2 linked regions of the Tribolium castaneum genome follow. The protein of the gene in region 1 purifies or fractionates together with the protein of each later gene. This does not show direct contact. Links are inferred from orthologs where the notes say so. Each region holds a gene or a part of one and is shown on either strand. Other genes may lie near its edges. The genes, in order: Npl4 and tether containing UBX domain for GLUT4.

Region 1 (9,464 bases):
CGCAAATAAGCGTGAAACGACAAATGTTTGACGTTGTGTTCGCGCAAATAAGCCTCGTCGTAGGGCTCCAGGGCCGAGCAGTGGACACAGCGAGAGTTGCTATTGTGGCGACATCTGCAACAAATTCGCTGTTGTAAACTCTTTCGATTTAAGTTGGCAGCGTTGCCAATTTTGATGAATTCTAAAATAATATACATATTTTTTGATAATTAAAGGAAAGTGGAGGAGATGGTGTTGTTTAAAATGAGGTAACTTTATTTTAGAATGTTAAGTTTTGTACCAACACTAAAGACCAATTTAGAAAAATTCTAGATTGTTACTAAACTAATTAAGATAGAAATATGAAAGAGCAGAGTAGAATCTAAAAAAGAATTAAATTTGGAGAATATAGGGAATAATTTTGTGTCCAGTCTATAAAACAGTTCCAGAGAAGAATCTGGAGATAAATGTACAGGGTGCTGCATTTTGGATGTCCGAATAGGGTTTAGCAAAAAACGAGTGACATATTCTCAGGTTCGTTTTTTGGGAAAATAATTTTGGTCAAATCCGCATCCCGCTATCGTCTTTTGTTTTCGTAAACAAAAGTTGATATTTTAGCGAAATCTTCAAAAATTCATTTCTTCCTTATTGTAAAAGATACACACTTGAAACACAGACATTATAAAGGCACTTTTTTACGGAGAATTTAGTAATGTTATCACCGATTTTTTCTAATTATTCGTTTAGCTGTAATAACATAAAGTTGTATTTTTTTAGTTGGCTATGACATTTTTGAAAAGTTTATTTTTTTCTGATTTCATATGCCTATTTGTGTAATACATTATTTTTAAATTATTAAAAATAACCAAAATATTCCGCTTTTTCTATAGTAGGCCACAAAAAAATTTTGGATTTTTAATTCAAACTATGAAAAATGTATTACTCAAAAAGTATTTATAATTTTATGATTTTTTAAACACTAATTAATTCAAAAACAACATAATAAATAATTGTTAGATCAAATTTTTGCGATTAATAAAAATATTTGTTTTTAGATTTAAAATGGCAAGTTTACATTGTCATTCCATTTTCTAATTAAACATGAAATGTTGGAAAAAAAGAAAAAATTTATTAATTGTATGATTTCTTATAAATAAAATTTTATTTTACAAAAAAATATCAATCTAAACACCAAAATCAAATCCCATCTGCGGTAAAAAAATACTTAACATTATAAACGTCACCTCCATTCCACTTTATTAAATCATAAAAAAGTGTCATCAAATAGTTAGTGACGCATCGTTTTCAATTTTCAGCACATTTTTTATGTAATTAAAATCGTATATTTGTTCAATTGAAAATAAATTTAACAGCTTATTTTGATAATTTCATATTTTTTCCTTTAATAACCGTTAACAAAATTTCTAGATTATTCACACCTTTTATGTGAAATAATTTTTCCATGGCCAACTACTTTAAAATATTTTAAATTTATTTTTATCAAAAGTTTTTGAGAAATGTAGAAGTGTTTAGAAAATATTTTCAAGTTGAGAAAATAATTATTATAAAGGAGTATGGTGAGAAGGATTTATACAAGAATCTGGAGATTATAAAATAAACTACAAACGGTTTTAAAAAAGAATCAGAGAAAAATCGTAAGAAAACACTAAAAGAAAGGAAAGAGTATATCAGAAACAACGCTAAAGAGAAATTCGAAATGAAACTATAACAAAACTTTGAAAACAAATAGAGTAGAATTTAAAAGAAAATTTAGAAAATATAGAAAGAGTTTATTAAAAATTTTGAGGATATTTTTTTAAAGAACAATTTGATGAAAAATTAATGAAGAATCGTAAGATTTCTTTCCAAAACAATCTAAAAAATCGACCTAACAAATCATTAGAACAGAATCAGAGAAGAAACTTGGCAAAAAACAAGAGAAAAATACAGAAACACTAAAAAGTAATCTGGATAAATTCTAAAAAAAACTATAACAATTTTTTTAAGAGCAGAGTAGAATCAGATATTCGTTACATAAAAAAAGAATAATTAATCAATACAATTTATAGATTATATTACATATTTACAATTTTAAAAAGAAATCACAGTTAGAAACAATGAACTAATCACAGTATAAAATAATTTTGGGCGTAGATATACTAAGAACCCGGAGAAATAAACTCATAAAGATTTAAAGATTTTAAAGATTTTTTTTTAAATGATGCGATTCTTAATTGTTTTTATTTATTTTGTTTGGTAGAGCATTGAAAGCTTTGATAGCATGATAATTGGGCCCTTTTTCATAAAAACTAGTTTTATTTATCAACATTTATTTAAAAGAACTTAGGGCGTTTTTTTTTGTAAACATAGTCAAATGATAAACATATAAAAAGGACGGAGTCATAATATTAATTTTTTTAAAATAAGTTTTGCAAGAGCTGCAAAAAGCAACTTAGAATGTTCTACAAAATAGAAGTGTTTATAAAATTTGATTCACTGTTCATCGTTTGTTGTTATTTTTATTTATGACAAGGTACAGTTTATGTTAATTCTTTTAAATATTTTGTTAATACTATTATTTATTAATGTATTAATAAGTGTTTATGAAATAAAGGAAAAGTCCAGATTTTCGATTTACAGACGGCTTTAGAAGAGAATGAATCAGAGAATAATTTTAAGAAAAATCAATATTGAAGAGAAAATAGATAAAATAAGATAATAGATGGAAAAATTCTAAACGAAACTATGGAAAGTGTTTATAAGACACAAAATGATATCTAAAAAAAATATGTGAATATATACTATTATTAAAAATCCACCGATAAAATGTAGAAATGTTTATACAGGGTGTCTCAAAAACTCAAGATTGGGAAATTCCGGGTTCAGAACATTGTAGAGAATTGCTTCAGTAGTCCAAATATATAACAAAAATAAAGATTCGGGGCTTGCCCACAAAGATACATTGGTTTGAAGACCACACTTAGAACTGTGTTTTCTTCAAATGCAGGCTAAAAGTTTCACTGTTTATTCTTATTTATGGTGAAGATGATTGTGAAGAATAGTAATGTAAAACAATTTCTCAATAAAATAGTTTCATTTTGGAGTAAAAAAATATTAAATTTTTGTAAAAAATAAAGAATAATCTGGAAAAATTCTAAACGAAACGAAGAATTTTGAAAAGACGTAGAGTGGAATCTGAAAGAGAACTCGAAGAATGTAGAAGTATTTATTAAAGAATTTTGAATAGAACAGAAAATAAATATAAGGAAGAATCTGATGGACAATTTATAAGAGAATTTAAAGATTCAGATTTGAGACCTGAACGGCTTTCGAAAAAAAATCAAAGAAGAATCTTAAGAATTAAAGATGGAATTATAAAATTATCTAAAGATTCCAGAAACAATGCTAATGAATAATCTAAAAAAACTGTAAACGAAACTATAGACGAATTGTGATAAGGCAGACCATGTAATCTACAAAAGAATTCGAAGAATTTAAAAAAAAATGTAGCTGTGTTTATACATTAATTCTGAGTAGAGTCTAGAAAATAATTGTAAATACGCATCTGAAGAAAAATTTGAACAAATTCTAAACGAAACTATCGAAAAATTCTTAAAATCACGAAGAATGGAATATAAAAAATAATTTGAGGAATTTAGAAGTATTTATTAAATAAGAATCTGGTAAAGAACCTAAAGATTTAAGATATGAACGGCTTTAGAAAAGAATCAGAGAACAATCTTGAGAAAAATTAAAAGAAGAGTATAGGAATAATACTAAAGAACAATAATAAGAATTTTAAATGAACCTAAAAATGGGAATGTAGAAGTGTTTCTACAATAATTTTGAGTACAGTCTACAAAATAATTCTAGAGAAGAATCTAGACAAAAAAATCTAAAAATGGTTTCTTAAAATTATCTTTAGAAGAGTCTAGATCCCAAATCTACAGACGGCTTAAGAAAAGGATTATAAAAAAATCGAGAGAGAGAGAGAGAAGTACAGAAAAATGCTAAAGAATGTCTGGAAAGATTCTAAAAACATGGAATATCCAAGATTTTTGGAAAAATACAAAGGAGAATTTTGAAAATATTATTGTCTTCATATTATTATTTACGTATTTTCTGTTATTAATGTTTAGTGCAATAAACAAATGTATCAACCTGTTTGTCATTTTACTTTCTCATGTTTTAATATCGATTCTTATTACTTTAAACGTGGAGTATTACGGTGTTTTTCTCATGACATGGTTGGCAACACTGATTCCCAACAATTACTTGAACTGACTCACAATTTGGGGTCCTGCTTCCTTTCGATCTTGCCGTCAAGTTTATACAACTGGAGGTCCACTGGGTCCTCCTTAACCGTTTGCTTAAAGTTGAGGCTAACACTGCTGCTTGGTCGCGAATTGCTCACTCCGGAGCTTGTAGACGGGGTCGGTTCCCTCGGGACAGGCTCACCCGACGGCGTGTTGTTCCCCTGCAGCCCCCGTATTACGCAAACCCGATTTGGGGCCGATCTACTCACCGTGGGGAACAAGACAGCCCCGTTTAGGGGGCACAGATAGATCATGTCGCCGTGGCGGAGGCCCAGGCCAGCCACAGTCCGCGATTTGCTGCTGGGGATCTCATTTTTCTGGTTCCGTTCTTTGTACAAAGCGAACGCAAAACTGCTCAAGTCAAAAGAGTCGTGGACGCGCTCGAATAACTTGCACGTGGAGTCCGAAGCGCTGACTTCGATCCGCTTTGTGCCTTCGGGGGACTGCACCCTCAATAGCTAAAAAATAAAAAACGGCTTTGTCACTGCTTCCAGTTTTTGAATTTTGAGGTTATGTCATCGGGGTGCAAAAAATACAGAGTGGGGGCGGTAACATGATTCGGGGTGAAAAACTTGTAATTGTAAGGGGCTTACTATTGCTTTATCTTTGGACATTGTAAAAAATTCATGTATATTTTTATAAGCTTAGTCAGTACTATTTCAAGTCGAATTGTCAACCGGCACGAATGCCAACCTCGACGAGCCGAAGTCACCAAACCACCGGTTTGATTTTTGAAAAATTGGCAAAATTTTCATTTTTCAAGCATTCGCGAAAAATTCTATAAATAATCCGATTTGTTTGGTTGCGCAGTTAGTTTTGCGTGTCAATATTTTTAGTTTGTCCGATTTTCAAACTTTAAGCTCATTATAATTCATTTAAGAGCCTTGGACGAAAATTCCTGATTCTAAATATAAAATAACCGAGGAATTCGTCACAACTGCATAAACCCACAGGTGAAACTGCGATTATACTCAAACCGAGCCTGCAGCGCGTTTCGCAACATAATTAATTTGTGCGTGGTTTTAATCAATTGTAGTCAAAATCAGTTCGCTAGTTTTTGAAAAAAATCCAGTTAAAAAAATACCCAAATTTGGTGATAAACCGGAACCCGGAGAACCCGGAGTCACCTGTCAAATCGTCGAAGATTCCAGATCTCTGTGTCTGTGTCATTATAAAACGGTTCAAATCTTGCGATTAGTTAGTGAGTTAGCAGAATTATTGCGGTAAGTTTCGAACTAATTTTTATTTATTAATCAAATCAAAATTTAAAAAATCACTCAAAAACTGTCAAAACGTCAAAGTGACAGCTCATTGGCAGCAAGTTTTTGAAATTATTTTCACAAATTCCAGCCAAAATGACCTCAAACAAGGTGGAGTTGTACATTTACGACCTGTCCAAAGGGATGGCAGCGGCCCTTTCGCCTATGCTCATAAGTGAGTAGAAAATTTGAGGTTAAGTTTCCCTCCAAAAATCTTTTCCAGACAAAAAAATCGACGGAATTTGGCACACAGCGATTGTCGTTTACGGTCGCGAGTATTTTTTCGGCTCACATGGCATTTCCAGTTGTAATCCGGTAAGAGTTGGGGAAAATTGTGTGGGGTCATGTAATCCACTTTATTTGTTTTTGCGTTATAAATACAATGACGAGACGGATTTAGAAGCGGTCTCTGAGTTGGGTTACATACACAGAGGGCACTGTCTAACTGTATCATGTCTAAATCTAAAATTGGAATTGGGCTATTATTAAATAGAGAAACAGTACTTGGCTACCAGTGAACCGGCTTTCCCTCGCATTAGTCTTATTAGTGCATTTAATTCTCTTAGATCTTTGTAAGTTATTTGTGGTGGTGCATGTGTTTATGCAACGAAACGACGCGGAAGTGTATTTCTGTTTGCGTTTTTGCCACTAAATCGAATTCCAGCGGCGTGAGGTGGCCAACAAAAATTTTATTTCACTGATTTGCCACAAAAAATAGTTAATTTCGTAAAGTGCTACGCATTATTATGATTTCATTAGCGGTGTGGGTGGTAACGCATGTGTGATTTATGAAAACGTTATTTGGCAAAAACAATTTTATTTGGAGAGTTTCGCATGACCAAGAATGGCTTTTGGCGGTGTTTAATTGTCTTTAAGCTTGGCATTTCGAGCCAGACGCGTTGATTGATTCGATAAATCTATTTAAATGTCGCTTTAAAAATAAAAAATTTGCCCTATTTCTAGCGACGCCGTCTCGTAATTGTAATTAAAGAGGCGTGTTTTTTAGACGTAATTAATATTTCCTAACTGATTAAGGCAAAATCGCATGATTAAAAGTTATTTTCCGAAAAAAATCACAGACTGTTTCGGGTTTATCTTAGTCGGTGTATTGTTGGTTGCCTACACTTAGACAATGCAAAATACAGTAGAACCTCGGTTACATTACGCCATATCTACGGTGGACTATAAGTTAGGAGACGAAACGAAAGTTCTAAACCCAAAAAATAGTACGCAGAGTAAAAATGAGGGCGCTTTGAGCGTTTCAGCGCCAATTCGTTTTAAATTAATTTATATCCAACCAATTCACTAATTACTTGGAAAAAATGCAGAAGTGTTGAGCTTTGCACTTGCACATACTGGGGAACACTAACAACAAAAATTTTCATAAGAAACATGAGAAAAAAATTATTTAAAATTAAAAATTTGCGCTTTGTTCCGTATTTTTCGAGACGCTGCGAATATGGTTAAAGATACATACAAGAAAAATTTAAGATAGAAATTTGTAGAGAATTTAATTTTCTTTAAGTCCGCGATACTATATTTATCTCTTCAAAGGTTTGGGTATAAATTAATTTTCTAATACTTGACCACCGGCAGAATGAAGAAAATGCGTCGCGACTTTGGGGCCTAAATGGTTGAAGATAGGGATACGGTCTTCCGGACTTTTTTGTAGGGAATTTAATTCTCTACAACTTTTTCCTTAACATTTTTCTTGTGTCTGTAACCGTATTCGCAGCGTTTTGAAAAAAATGGGACAGAGTGCAAATTGGTAAAAGTTTTTAAAATGTAGTTTACCAACAATTTTTATGTTTGATTATTGAGAATTTAATGCTCTATCTGCCTGTATATTTTTTATACAAATACAATATTTTTTTCTGAAAACTCATGGTAATGGAACAACTGCGCTCTCTGGCGACATTAAGGGAACTATGGAGGGCGGGAACGTTTTATTTGTACCTCGTTTCGTATCCTAACCTTTAGACATCCGTAGCCGTGTCTTATTCAAAAATTGGCGCTAATTTTTGAATAATTGACAGGGTACGACCGCTTTGGGGCAGCCCTTGCGCGTGTTAACTCTTGGCGAGACCCAGGTCCCTTATTCAGTATTCATCGATTACATAAACGGTCTCAGCGAATCAACTTGGGCGTAAGCATCTCAAAAAATTGAAAAAAACACGCGCTAAAAGCGTCATATTTAGGGGCCCAACTTACGATCTTTTTCACCACAACTGCAACAACTTCTCGGAGGAAATCGCCCAGTTTTTGTGCGGTTGTAGCATCCCGAAATATATCCTCGATTTACCAAACGAGGTTCTTAGTTCGTCTCTAGGACCAGCGATACCGCTTTTGGTGTCACAGTTGGAGAAAAGTGCAAGACCTATAGCCGAAGAACAGGAAAGGGCGAGGGAGAATAGCCCCGATTTGGAACAGTTGAATTCACAAATTGAAGAAGTCAGGTCAGAGCAAAATAAAAGTGTGGGGGAGCATTGATGGAGAGCTTGGGTTTTAGTTAATTGCTTTGTGTGTTGTACGAAATTGGATAAAATTAAATAAAGCAGTGTGGAAGTTTTTTCGTGTTGCTTTTGTCAGTAAATAATTTGGTTTTGTTGCTAACTAAAAAAATAGTATAATTCTATACACAGTGGCCAAGAATAAGTGTTTTAGTTGGCAATAGATTTGTCATGTTGTCATAACAACCGGTTGTAATTTATTTTTGCCAACTTCAACAATAATTCTTGGTTATTATATTTTTGTAATACACAATTGGCAAACACGTTGAAAATTGTTAAAAATAAATAAAAATTACAAAATTATTAAAGGTCCAGTTTGCAACTTTTGAAAATACATTAGTAACATTAGTCTTGTAAAAAAATATGAATAAATATGATTGTATGAATTGTTGAATCTTGAAACCTATTGTAAAAATACGAGTAAATTAATAAAACATTATAACCAAATTGTGAAATTTTTTACTGCATTTTAAAGAATCAAAAATCGCATTTTCGACTGATTTTTAAAATTCTATTGGAAATGAAATTTATTTAAATTTGGTTAACGGCTTATTGTTTAAAAATAATTGTATTGCGTAGTACACGTAAGTATTCAACTATTCATCTATGTATGTATCAGTGGCGGCTCGCTAGGTGAAGATTTAAAATTTATTTGTTAAAAAAAAACGCACTACATCACTGCAGACAGATAAGAAAACGTAAATTTCGATTCAGTTTAGTAATTTTTTCACAAAATTTTGCTTGGTTTTTGGCTTATTTTAGCGAATTAATGCTAATTTAATCAATTTTTGGGTGAAAATGCTCGAAAAGAGCAAGTAAGATGACGAAATTTTCGACTTAGGTTAATAATAAGTTTGTGTTATTGTGAATTTTTGACTAAGCATGTGCTTAAAAATTTGAAAAAGGCAACGATTTAGTCCGGCCTTATTTCTCAAAAAAATATTTTTCACTCATAAAATGAGCTAAATATCACCCATTTCATTAGACAAATTGTTTTTTGATTTAAAATAAATAAATAATAATTTTTGATGCAATCAGGTGATTTTTTGCCTTTTTCTGAACAAAGTTTCGCATAAAAAATGTGTTTTTCGGTGATAAAGAGAGCTAAATGATTATACACAGGCCAAAAGATGAACATCAGTGTAGTTTGGTCATTTTTGTCAAAATTTTGTATAATAATAGTGTATTTTTCACTCAAAAACTGAGGCAAAAAAGCGAAATAATAATAATAATAATAATAGTAATAATAATAATAATAATTTAATTTATTTCCAACGGTCTTATTAATCTAAAGTGGACAAATAACAATACAATATACCAAAAAAGAACAAAATTGAGACAATTAAATTATACAAAACATTATAAATTACGAAGAAAAATATTCTAGAAGCTTGTCCTTT
Region 2 (8,857 bases), on another chromosome or scaffold:
TCGGTATTTGCGTGGTGACACATAGAGTGTGGGCAATTTGGGTTTTTCCGCTTCCAGCTTCTCCAAAAACTTGAGTTATAGACATCGACTCTACACCCCCGCCCAGCAATTTACTAAAAATTTTGAAATTTAACTCGGATTTAGTTTCAATATGCGAAATTACTCCAAATTTGCGCTTCCCGTACTTATTTTAAAAACTTGCTTGCATGCCTCACTTACTTCAAAGGCGGTCATGAAGCGATTGCTGAAAGAGATATTTCCGCAAATTTCCTGAATTTTGCTTACTTTACTCGGATTAAAGCTCTTCAAAGCCAAAAGTTTGTCGGTTGTGGTCATTTGGAGGCCCTTGACTGTGTTTATGCCAATTTTTCGCATTTCTTCGATATCTGGAAGAGGGACGCCGTGTTCGGTCAGCATGTAAATATCCTGAAAGAAAGGTTCGCTCTCGATGTCCAATTCCTCCGTTTCAACAGATTCAGAAGGACTAGCTTCTTTTTCTTCAATTTCTTTTATAGCTGTGTCCATGTTGATCGAAATAAAGGATAAATAAATTAGAATTTTACAATCGAATACAAACAACGCGTCCAAACTGTGCTCTCAAATGTCAAAAATATTGGGTTACCAACAAAAAAAACAATGATGACAAAAAAACTAAATTAGGGAGAGACCTTCAATGTTCACCGAAGAACATGTTGGAATCCTATTTCTCATCCTTATTTCCTTTTTTCCAGGCAAAAATGTTATAAACCTCCACGTAGTCCTTGCTGGACAAATTAGAACAATCCTTAAATACCCGAGTAATAATCAGCCTGAAAAAATTTTTGAAGCAACCAACATTACATTTCATAGATAACGTGGATAGTAAAATAGATACTTGGTTTATTTGTGTATTTTCTAGTCAAAAATAGTGGACGTGCGCAAATCCTACCGGATTTTTTTTTAATTTTTTTATTAACAATGTTTTTCGGGACTTTCCTAAACAAACTCAGTTAACTAAAATTTTTTAGACATAACTTAAATATCATCGTTTAAGAAAAAAGTTATCAAAGGATTCAACGGTAAAGTTTGAAGTTATGTTTCACCCTTACCTTCATCTCTTTTTCTCTCAAAACAAAAAGTACGTTTACAATTTACGCCTTTACGTACTTTTACATTTTGCCGCATTATTTTCTTATTTCTGTCAGTTTTATGCTCCGCTTTACGTTTATACGTCAACGTGTTCTCTTAATCTCTTATTTTTGTTTACGTCTTGTTTCACTTACCTTTTCCACACTTTTTTTCATAGAAAAATTGTCACCCTGATCCGGGTTCGAATACCCGACCCGAAAATTAATTGATAAAGTCTGGAAACATTTCAAAGTTTACGAGTAATTTAGAAAAAGAGACAATTTTAAATAAATAAAAAAAGTATATCATGCATCAAAATTATATATTTTTCATCAACATATGCAGCAAAGAACAAATTACCGGAATAAACAATGAAAAAAACTAAAACTCATCTGACATATCATAACTAGACCTAGAATGAAATACTACTAAATACCTAAGGAATTAATGTCATAGCATCAAAGTTGTGGTTATTCTGTAAGTAACTGATGGACACTTGTCCATTCTCATCCATGTTTATCCCCATTAGAACAAAACGTGTTATGGTATTCCTGATTACATCTTTATCTTCAAGTACTTTTAAGTAATTCCTGTCCCTCATGTCAAGCATTGCTTTTTTGTTGCTCTCCTTATACTTCGTTTCGATAAGCATTAAGAAACTATCTTTAATAATGCCACAATCGATACTTCTGCTATGTTTTACCCCATTTTCTGTGAAATTAAAGTTGAGTTCAGCACTGTCCTTAAATCCCATATTACTGATCAAAATTTTTATTGTACGACGGATGTTCTCTTCGTTCTTTTTAATCCATTTTGCTGCATAGTTTTGTAAAGCATCTTCAAGACTCGTATGAAATTTTTTGAAGTCATCATAATCACAATCCCTCTCAGATATTTTCAGAAAGAATTCTCTGCAGTCCTCAGTAGGAATACTATTCCTATCAAATACTTTAATTTTAGAGTCTGTTATCTTTCCCTCGATTTTCTCTTTAATCTGTTCGTTGGGTATTACGAGCAGCCCAGGCTTGTTAGCTACAAATGACAAATAGCCTTGCTCAACAAGAAATGAGAAAAAAAAGTCACAACGTGGAAATTCGACGTTCTGAGGGTCAACATTTCCAATTATCTCTACCAACTGCAGGATATCCTCTACAACCAAGGTTTCATATTTTTTAATCTCTATAGGTTTATACAACAGTAGTTCTGTTTGAATTATTTTCATAATTGTAGGGAATCTAAAAGCTTTTTCGAGACCTACAATATACCTGGTGTCTTGCCATTCATATATAAAATCATCCTCTTGAGTTCTGCTAGCATATTCTAGCACAGACCAGATGTTGTATATCTTTACTCCACGAACTGTAGAATAACCGTTGAATTTTTTTTCTGTTTCAGCAATTCGCTGATCATCAAATTGATATGTCTTCCTTAACAAATTCCGAATTTCCATAACTGTCAAGCCATAGTAAGGAACAAAAGAGTGATTTTCCAGAAATCTGAATGGCTTTATGTTTGAACCAGAAAGACCCATTCCGGAAATATGGGAAATTCCGGTGATAAATGCATATTCTACATGTTGCTCAATGTCATTTTTCACAGCAGCTTGGATTAAACCTAAACAAAACTGTATGACCTTCGTTAATTCATCTTTTGCCTTTATACGCAATATTGCTTGCATGATAACCGAATCGTACTCGTCGATAAGTAGTACTACTTTTTTGTTAAAGCTCTCAAAGACATAACGGACTAAAGTTCGCAAACCGTCAGATATCAAATTTATATCCATTGCTTTCCTTTCATCCCAGTCGGCGGGGTTCAACCATTTGGCATATATATTTTTGTCCCATTGACTTAATGCTTTTTCCGATATTAAATAATTATGTCTCCTGAAGGCTTTACTTAAAATCCGACAACAGAATGCAACTCCATCAGAAAAACTTGCGATTGGCGTGTCACATTTGAATGAAATGTGTAATGTAGGATATTTTCCAAAATGTTTGTTCATCAAATCTGGATTCTTAGTTATTTCCAACTGAAGCTCTTCAAACAGCTTGTAATTAGCTGTCTCTTTTACCTTTATTTGGAATTCATCTTCTGATAGCATCTTATATTCTTCTGGTGGTACTTGCAACTCAAAACAAGTCTTAAGCATCAAGAGATTTATAGTCTTTCCGAAACGGCGTGGAGCTGTCAGCAGCACTCGGCTACGACCGCATTTAAGGAAAACTTCTAACAGAGTGGTTTTATCGATGTAATACGACTCATCCCTCGTCCCCAGAAGACTAATAAAGTCCGATGTGCCGAGCATCTTATCTGGTTTTCCAGACGGTGGCTATCAATAAAAAAAGTAAATGAACAATAATATTTGTGAATTAACAAATAGAATATGGTTTATAGGGGCATAATTTCACTTACGTTGCTACCGGCAGATACATTGAGAAAATCTTCATCATCAGAATTTGGTTGTTGTGGATCCATAGACTCTGCGCAAGTAAAATAAATTAATAAAATAATTTAAATAATAATAAAGTAAAATGATGATTTTCTGTACTGTTTATGATTATTGTTGTAAACGATAAAAAGCTTTTGAAATTGTTTCAGAATAGCTATTATGAGATGTTGTATATTCTAGTACTTAAGATATTGGTTAGTTAAAATAAACAATTATCTTAATAATGCGTAAACTAAAACATCAATATAAATCGCAGTAATAATTTTACATTTTAATTTTGATGAAACAAAACTGAATTGTCACTGGTGAGATGACGTTTAAATTGTTAGGTTAACTGTCACTTCAAAATGAAAAATCATCAACATTGCTTAAGAATTGTATAAAAATAATCACTTATTCAAAATGTCGTGTAGCACCGTTTCAGTCTTGGCCCCAAACGGCCGTCGACAGACCGTCAAATGTACCGCAAACACGACCATAATGCAGGTACAAAAAATATTAAAACTAACCCCAAAAAAAACACCTACTTTTCAGATTATTGAAGAAGTTTGTCGCAAACAGGGTTTCAAGCCGGAGGATTACGATATTAAGCACCACAACAAAGTGCTTGACACAACTATTTCGTTCCGTTTTTCTGGTTTGCCAAATAACGCTCAGTTAGAATTAGCAACAGCAACCAAAGCACGCACGGACTCGGAAGTAATTCTAGCCATAAATTCTGAAAGTGGCGACCGAGTCATGGGCAACTTCCAACCAGATGACACTTTATGGAGTGTACTAACTAAATTGTGCCCCAGTATTAAACCTGATGACAATCCTGTTTTGGTTTATATGCGAAATGAAATTTACGGCGACAATTTGCAAAAAGCCACTTTGCGAAGCTTGGGCCTAAGAGGTGGTAGGGCGATGATGCGGTTAATGTATCGAAGGCCTGACGAACTAAAAGTCCAAGCAAATGTCTCTGCTCCTCTGCCTACGAAACCGGTAGAGGAGAAGCCCTTTCATCGCACTTTAAAGACTGAAGCTGAATATTCTAAAACTACCGATGTGAAGCCTTTACAAAAGAAAACTGAGGTTGATTTATTGAAACTAGCACGGGAAAAACGAAAATTGAGCAGCCCTTCCAAAACTCCGGAAACGGAAACGCATTCGCCTAAAACTAAACCCAAAGTTGAGTCTGACGACGAAAAAATGGATGTTGATTTGCCAGAAAACATCGCAAATTACCCAAAAGAGCCAGTTACCAACCCATCATCTAGTCAGCTTGAGGACGATTTTGTTTTTGTATGTAGCATTTTATTTTTATTATTTTATTTTGTATTTGAAATTTTCAGTTGGGCGAGCGCAAGGCAATGTTATTTTCTCTCGAATCGGCGCGTTCTTTACCAGCTGAAGACCTACCAGACGATTTTTTTGAGCTCACAATTGATGATGCTAAGAAAATTCTGGGCGATATTAGAAGAAAGCGAAACGAAATGGACAACGCTAATCTCATGACCTCTGCAATGCGCAATTTAGAAGAATCAAAGAAGCAATTACGCCAACTGCGTAAATATAAACAGTCAGTAATACGCGTCCAGTTCCCAGACAGGTCCATCCTTCAAGGGAGCTTCAAGCCCAGCGAAACTGTTAAAGATATTAAAGATTTCGTCACTTCTTTCCTAGAAGATCCAAACAGTGATTTTCATCTTTGTAAGTATTGTTCTACTTCAGTCAAGTGACCTTTGACTCTAGTCAGAAACTACTTTGATCACATGTTTAAATATTGTTACAGATACAACGCCGCCTAAAAATGTTCTCTCGGACGAATCAAAACTAGTGGAAATTGGTTGCGTGCCGGGGGCTTTGTTGCATTTAGGAGCAAATGGTGATGGGAGTTCTGTGTGCTTGAAGGCGGAATTGAGGGATAAATTTACAACAAACTCAAAAGCAAGTTTAGCGGCGTCACAGTTGCGGCAAAAGGGAACAAGACCCGAATCTCCGAGTGAAGAAATGGGCCAGGATGAGTCTATGGATACACTGACTGAAGCAAATGCTGCTGGGCCAAGTACACAACCAACCAGTTACGAGAGGAAAGTAATAAAATCAACGGAAAAAGTCCCTAAGTGGTTTAGACCATCAAAGTGATTTATTAGTGTTAAGTTTATATGAGTTGGTACTTATATTAAATAAAAGCACTTCAGCATCTAATTTTGTTTTATTTTGGTGAGAGGAGCGGGTGTTTTTGAATAGTTTGGGGAGTTTTGTTTTATTGGCACCAATGGTGTGTCAAATGTCATTCAAATTTTTTAATTGATTACTTTTAAAACAACAATGGCAAGTAAAGTTAACGTTCTTGAGTCCGTTCGTGAAGATGATTTTGTTGAATATCATCTTTTTCCACCTATTGATTCCCAGGACGACAAAGAACAAGAACTTGCGTTAACCAGAGTTTTAAATCAGTGTGAAAAAATCGTAAAAAGGTACACCGATGAGTATTTATGGCATAAAGACGAATTTAAATTAACTGTGAGAACGTGGATTAGTAATTCACTGATTCATGATAGTGAAAAAACAGGTAATGGTCGTATTTTATGACTTCACATTAAAAAAGTGCTTTTACATTTTTTGAGGTTATAAACCAGCAAATGCTTTGTTTAAAGTAAATCTGTATAAATCACAATGTAACAATTTTTTGAATCACCTAATTCGAGATCAATTGTTTTGCAGAGTATTTACCACCACATTTATATGGCGTAACTCATTTTGGAGACAATATAGAGGACGAGTGGTTTATTGTGTTCCTTTTACGTCTCCTAACTAAGGAAATTGATGGTTTAATAGCTCGTGTGCACGACGCTGATGGCGAATTTATTTTAATTGAAGCAGCTGATTACTTACCTTTATGGGCAGACCCTAACAACTGCGAAAATAGGGTAAGGTTTCTCATTATCTGTGCTTGTCTTTTTTCTAATTCAAATTAGAATAAAGTGATAATTGATTTTTTTGTTGGAAATTTTAATTAAAAAACGTTGCTATGGTAAGAGTGTTTTAAAATAGTGTTTATAATCTAGCATTCAGATGTGAAAAAGAAGGCTTAAAATGTTACCATCAAAAAAATAATTTAACGAATGCAACACAAGTCAATGAACGAAGCTGTACCAACATGTGAAAAAATTGCAACAAAATTGCAGCTCTATAAGATAGTACTTCTACATTAAAATTCACTTAAGTAATAATTTATTAGTTAAGCATTTATAATTATTTATACATTTCTGTAATAACTGAAGCAAAACTGACTTGGATCTGGTTTTTCTCCAGGTATACATTTACCAAGGCAACATTCATATCATCCCTCTAGACACCTCGGATCACCTCCCAGAAATGGCCCAAATGGCGGTCAATGAGGCCGTCTCAACAATCCAAAACAATCCGATCGACACTTTAGCCTCATCAGACATCCAAAACTGTATAATCAACAAATTAAAAGACTACCCTGACAAAATCCAGTCCAGTCTTCACCATGCCACTGCCTACCTACCAGTAGGTGTCGCTGCAATTTTGCGCCACAAACCCGGGCTTATAGCCCCCGCCGTCCAAGTCTTTTGTAATCGAGACCCAGTTGACGCCAAAACCTGCAAAGCCATGAAATATTTTCCGCCCGAAAACCGCGTAAATGCCAGAGTGACATTTACTAAATGTTTATACGCAATGCTAACTCACAGTAAATACGTTCCGGATCGCAGAACCGGCTGGAACTTGCCTAAAAGCGACAGCCCACAGTTTAAAGCGCAGAATTTAGGCGTTAAAATCGCCTGTGGGTTTGAGATTTTAGCCGCGCAAGCCAAACCAAGCCAGGACATTGAACAGGATAAAGGGTGGGTTAATTATTTTGAGAAACTGAAAGAGAAAAATTATTTTCGGGGGTTGTTGGAGCATTCAAGAGAATACAACGATTTATTAAACAAAGCGAAAGAGTACTACATCAATCACCGAGACTCTATGCACTATTCTCCAGCCATTGGGCAAGAAATTGTCCAGTTGATCAAAAATTTGGATTTTAAGATCGATGAATTGAAGGAGGAAAGTAATTTGCCTGACGATGACGATTCGTGGCTTAACGTCAGCCCGGAAGAGTTGGATAAAATGTTAGAAGAAAAATACGGGCAAAAGAAATTCGTTACAGTGAACAACAACTCAGACGCCGCCTCTTTCACTGAAAAAATCTCCTCGTTCTTAAACCACGTGTCAGATATTGACGGAGTTGAGCACCCAGACCTGGACAATTCCCCAACTCGGCCCCCTAGAGGCGTGAAAAAACGCACCAAAGTTTCGTTCGCAAGTGGCACAAAAACCGAGACAACAGCTAATAATAGAGTTAGTTTTGATCCGAATGCGTTTTCTTGCGCCGTTCAGAACATCCTGAATTTTGTCATTCCGGAAGATGACAGTTGGGATTTGGATTCTGGGTCTGATATGAGCGATTACGCCGACGATGTTGCCGGGAATGAGGAGATGTACGAAGGGGTTAAAAATAAAATGCAGGAGTATATGGAACAGATGGATAAGGAACTGGCGGCGACCACAATCGGGGAAAGTTTCGAGAAGAAGAACGGGGACGGGTTTGAGGATATTGAGAGTTTTAAACCTGTTGATATTGACGTGAATGCGTTGAAGAATATTCTGGAGAGTTATAAGTCGCAGTTGGGGGAGGCGGGACCGTCGAGTAATATGTTAGGGCCGATGGGGGTGCACTTGGATGTCAGTAATAACGATGATTGAGATGATTATTTAAGCGCGATTTATTGATTTACTGTTAATTTTTGTAGCGCGTGCCAATAAGGAGGTTTACTGCCATTGTCTTTTCACTATTGATGTATACAGTGTACGAGATTCACACGTTAAGCTGTACAGAACACGAACGATTTGATTACATGCTTAATATTACCTCAGAAATATGAAAAATATTTTGTGTTAACGTTACGTTGTTTTTGCAACTATGACACATTTCTTTTTTTCGTTCTGTACAGCCGCATATGTATTTTAGATTTAGCTGCTTGTTATGAAAATTAAAAGAATATATTTAATACTTTAGGATATTATGCTTCGTTAAATTAATATTTTTATGTCGATTGATGCTAGTCTTCATAAACACTTTGTAACTTTTTTTACAGACAGTAAATTTTTGAAATAATATTTACGTTGTTTCATTACTCCTTTGTAAGACTAAAATCCCTAAAAACACTATCTGGATACAGGATAAGTGATGCTGATGAGTAACACAGTATGAAAAATGCAGCGTTTTTTATAAATTGCTAT

What was found.
Region 2: the proteins of Npl4 (region 1) and tether containing UBX domain for GLUT4 purify together in Homo sapiens (affinity purification with mass spectrometry; 3 studies listed by BioGRID and IntAct, with this or other methods). This does not show direct contact. The link is inferred for Tribolium castaneum from reciprocal best matches to the Homo sapiens genes NPLOC4 and ASPSCR1.

What each region holds. Positions count from the first base shown.
Region 1 is NC_087399.1:8,833,396-8,842,859, reverse strand, and holds the start of Npl4 (nuclear protein localization protein 4 homolog), read right to left. Parts: upstream 5,022-9,464; 5' UTR 4,910-5,021; coding exon 4,889-4,909; intron 4,754-4,888; coding exon 4,505-4,753; intron 4,457-4,504; coding exon 4,269-4,456; intron 115-4,268; coding exon 1-114. Other genes in the region: uncharacterized protein LOC659663, read left to right, coding at 5,651-5,729, 5,778-5,869, 7,591-7,700, 7,753-8,010. UniProt on the Homo sapiens protein: The ternary complex containing UFD1, VCP and NPLOC4 binds ubiquitinated proteins and is necessary for the export of misfolded proteins from the ER to the cytoplasm, where they are degraded by the proteasome.
Region 2 is NC_087394.1:35,465,236-35,474,092, reverse strand, and holds tether containing UBX domain for GLUT4, read left to right. Parts: upstream 1-3,905; 5' UTR 3,906-3,961; coding exon 3,962-4,045; intron 4,046-4,086; exon of another isoform or gene 4,087-4,093; coding exon 4,094-4,843; intron 4,844-4,893; coding exon 4,894-5,251; intron 5,252-5,333; coding exon 5,334-5,686; 3' UTR 5,687-5,749; downstream 5,750-8,857. Other genes in the region: meiotic recombination protein DMC1/LIM15 homolog, read right to left, coding at 1-113, 164-525; uncharacterized protein LOC103312249, read right to left, coding at 1,544-3,439, 3,523-3,585; ecd (protein ecdysoneless), read left to right, coding at 5,873-6,116, 6,269-6,474, 6,860-8,320. UniProt on the Homo sapiens protein: Tethering protein that sequesters GLUT4-containing vesicles in the cytoplasm in the absence of insulin. Modulates the amount of GLUT4 that is available at the cell surface. Enhances VCP methylation catalyzed by VCPKMT.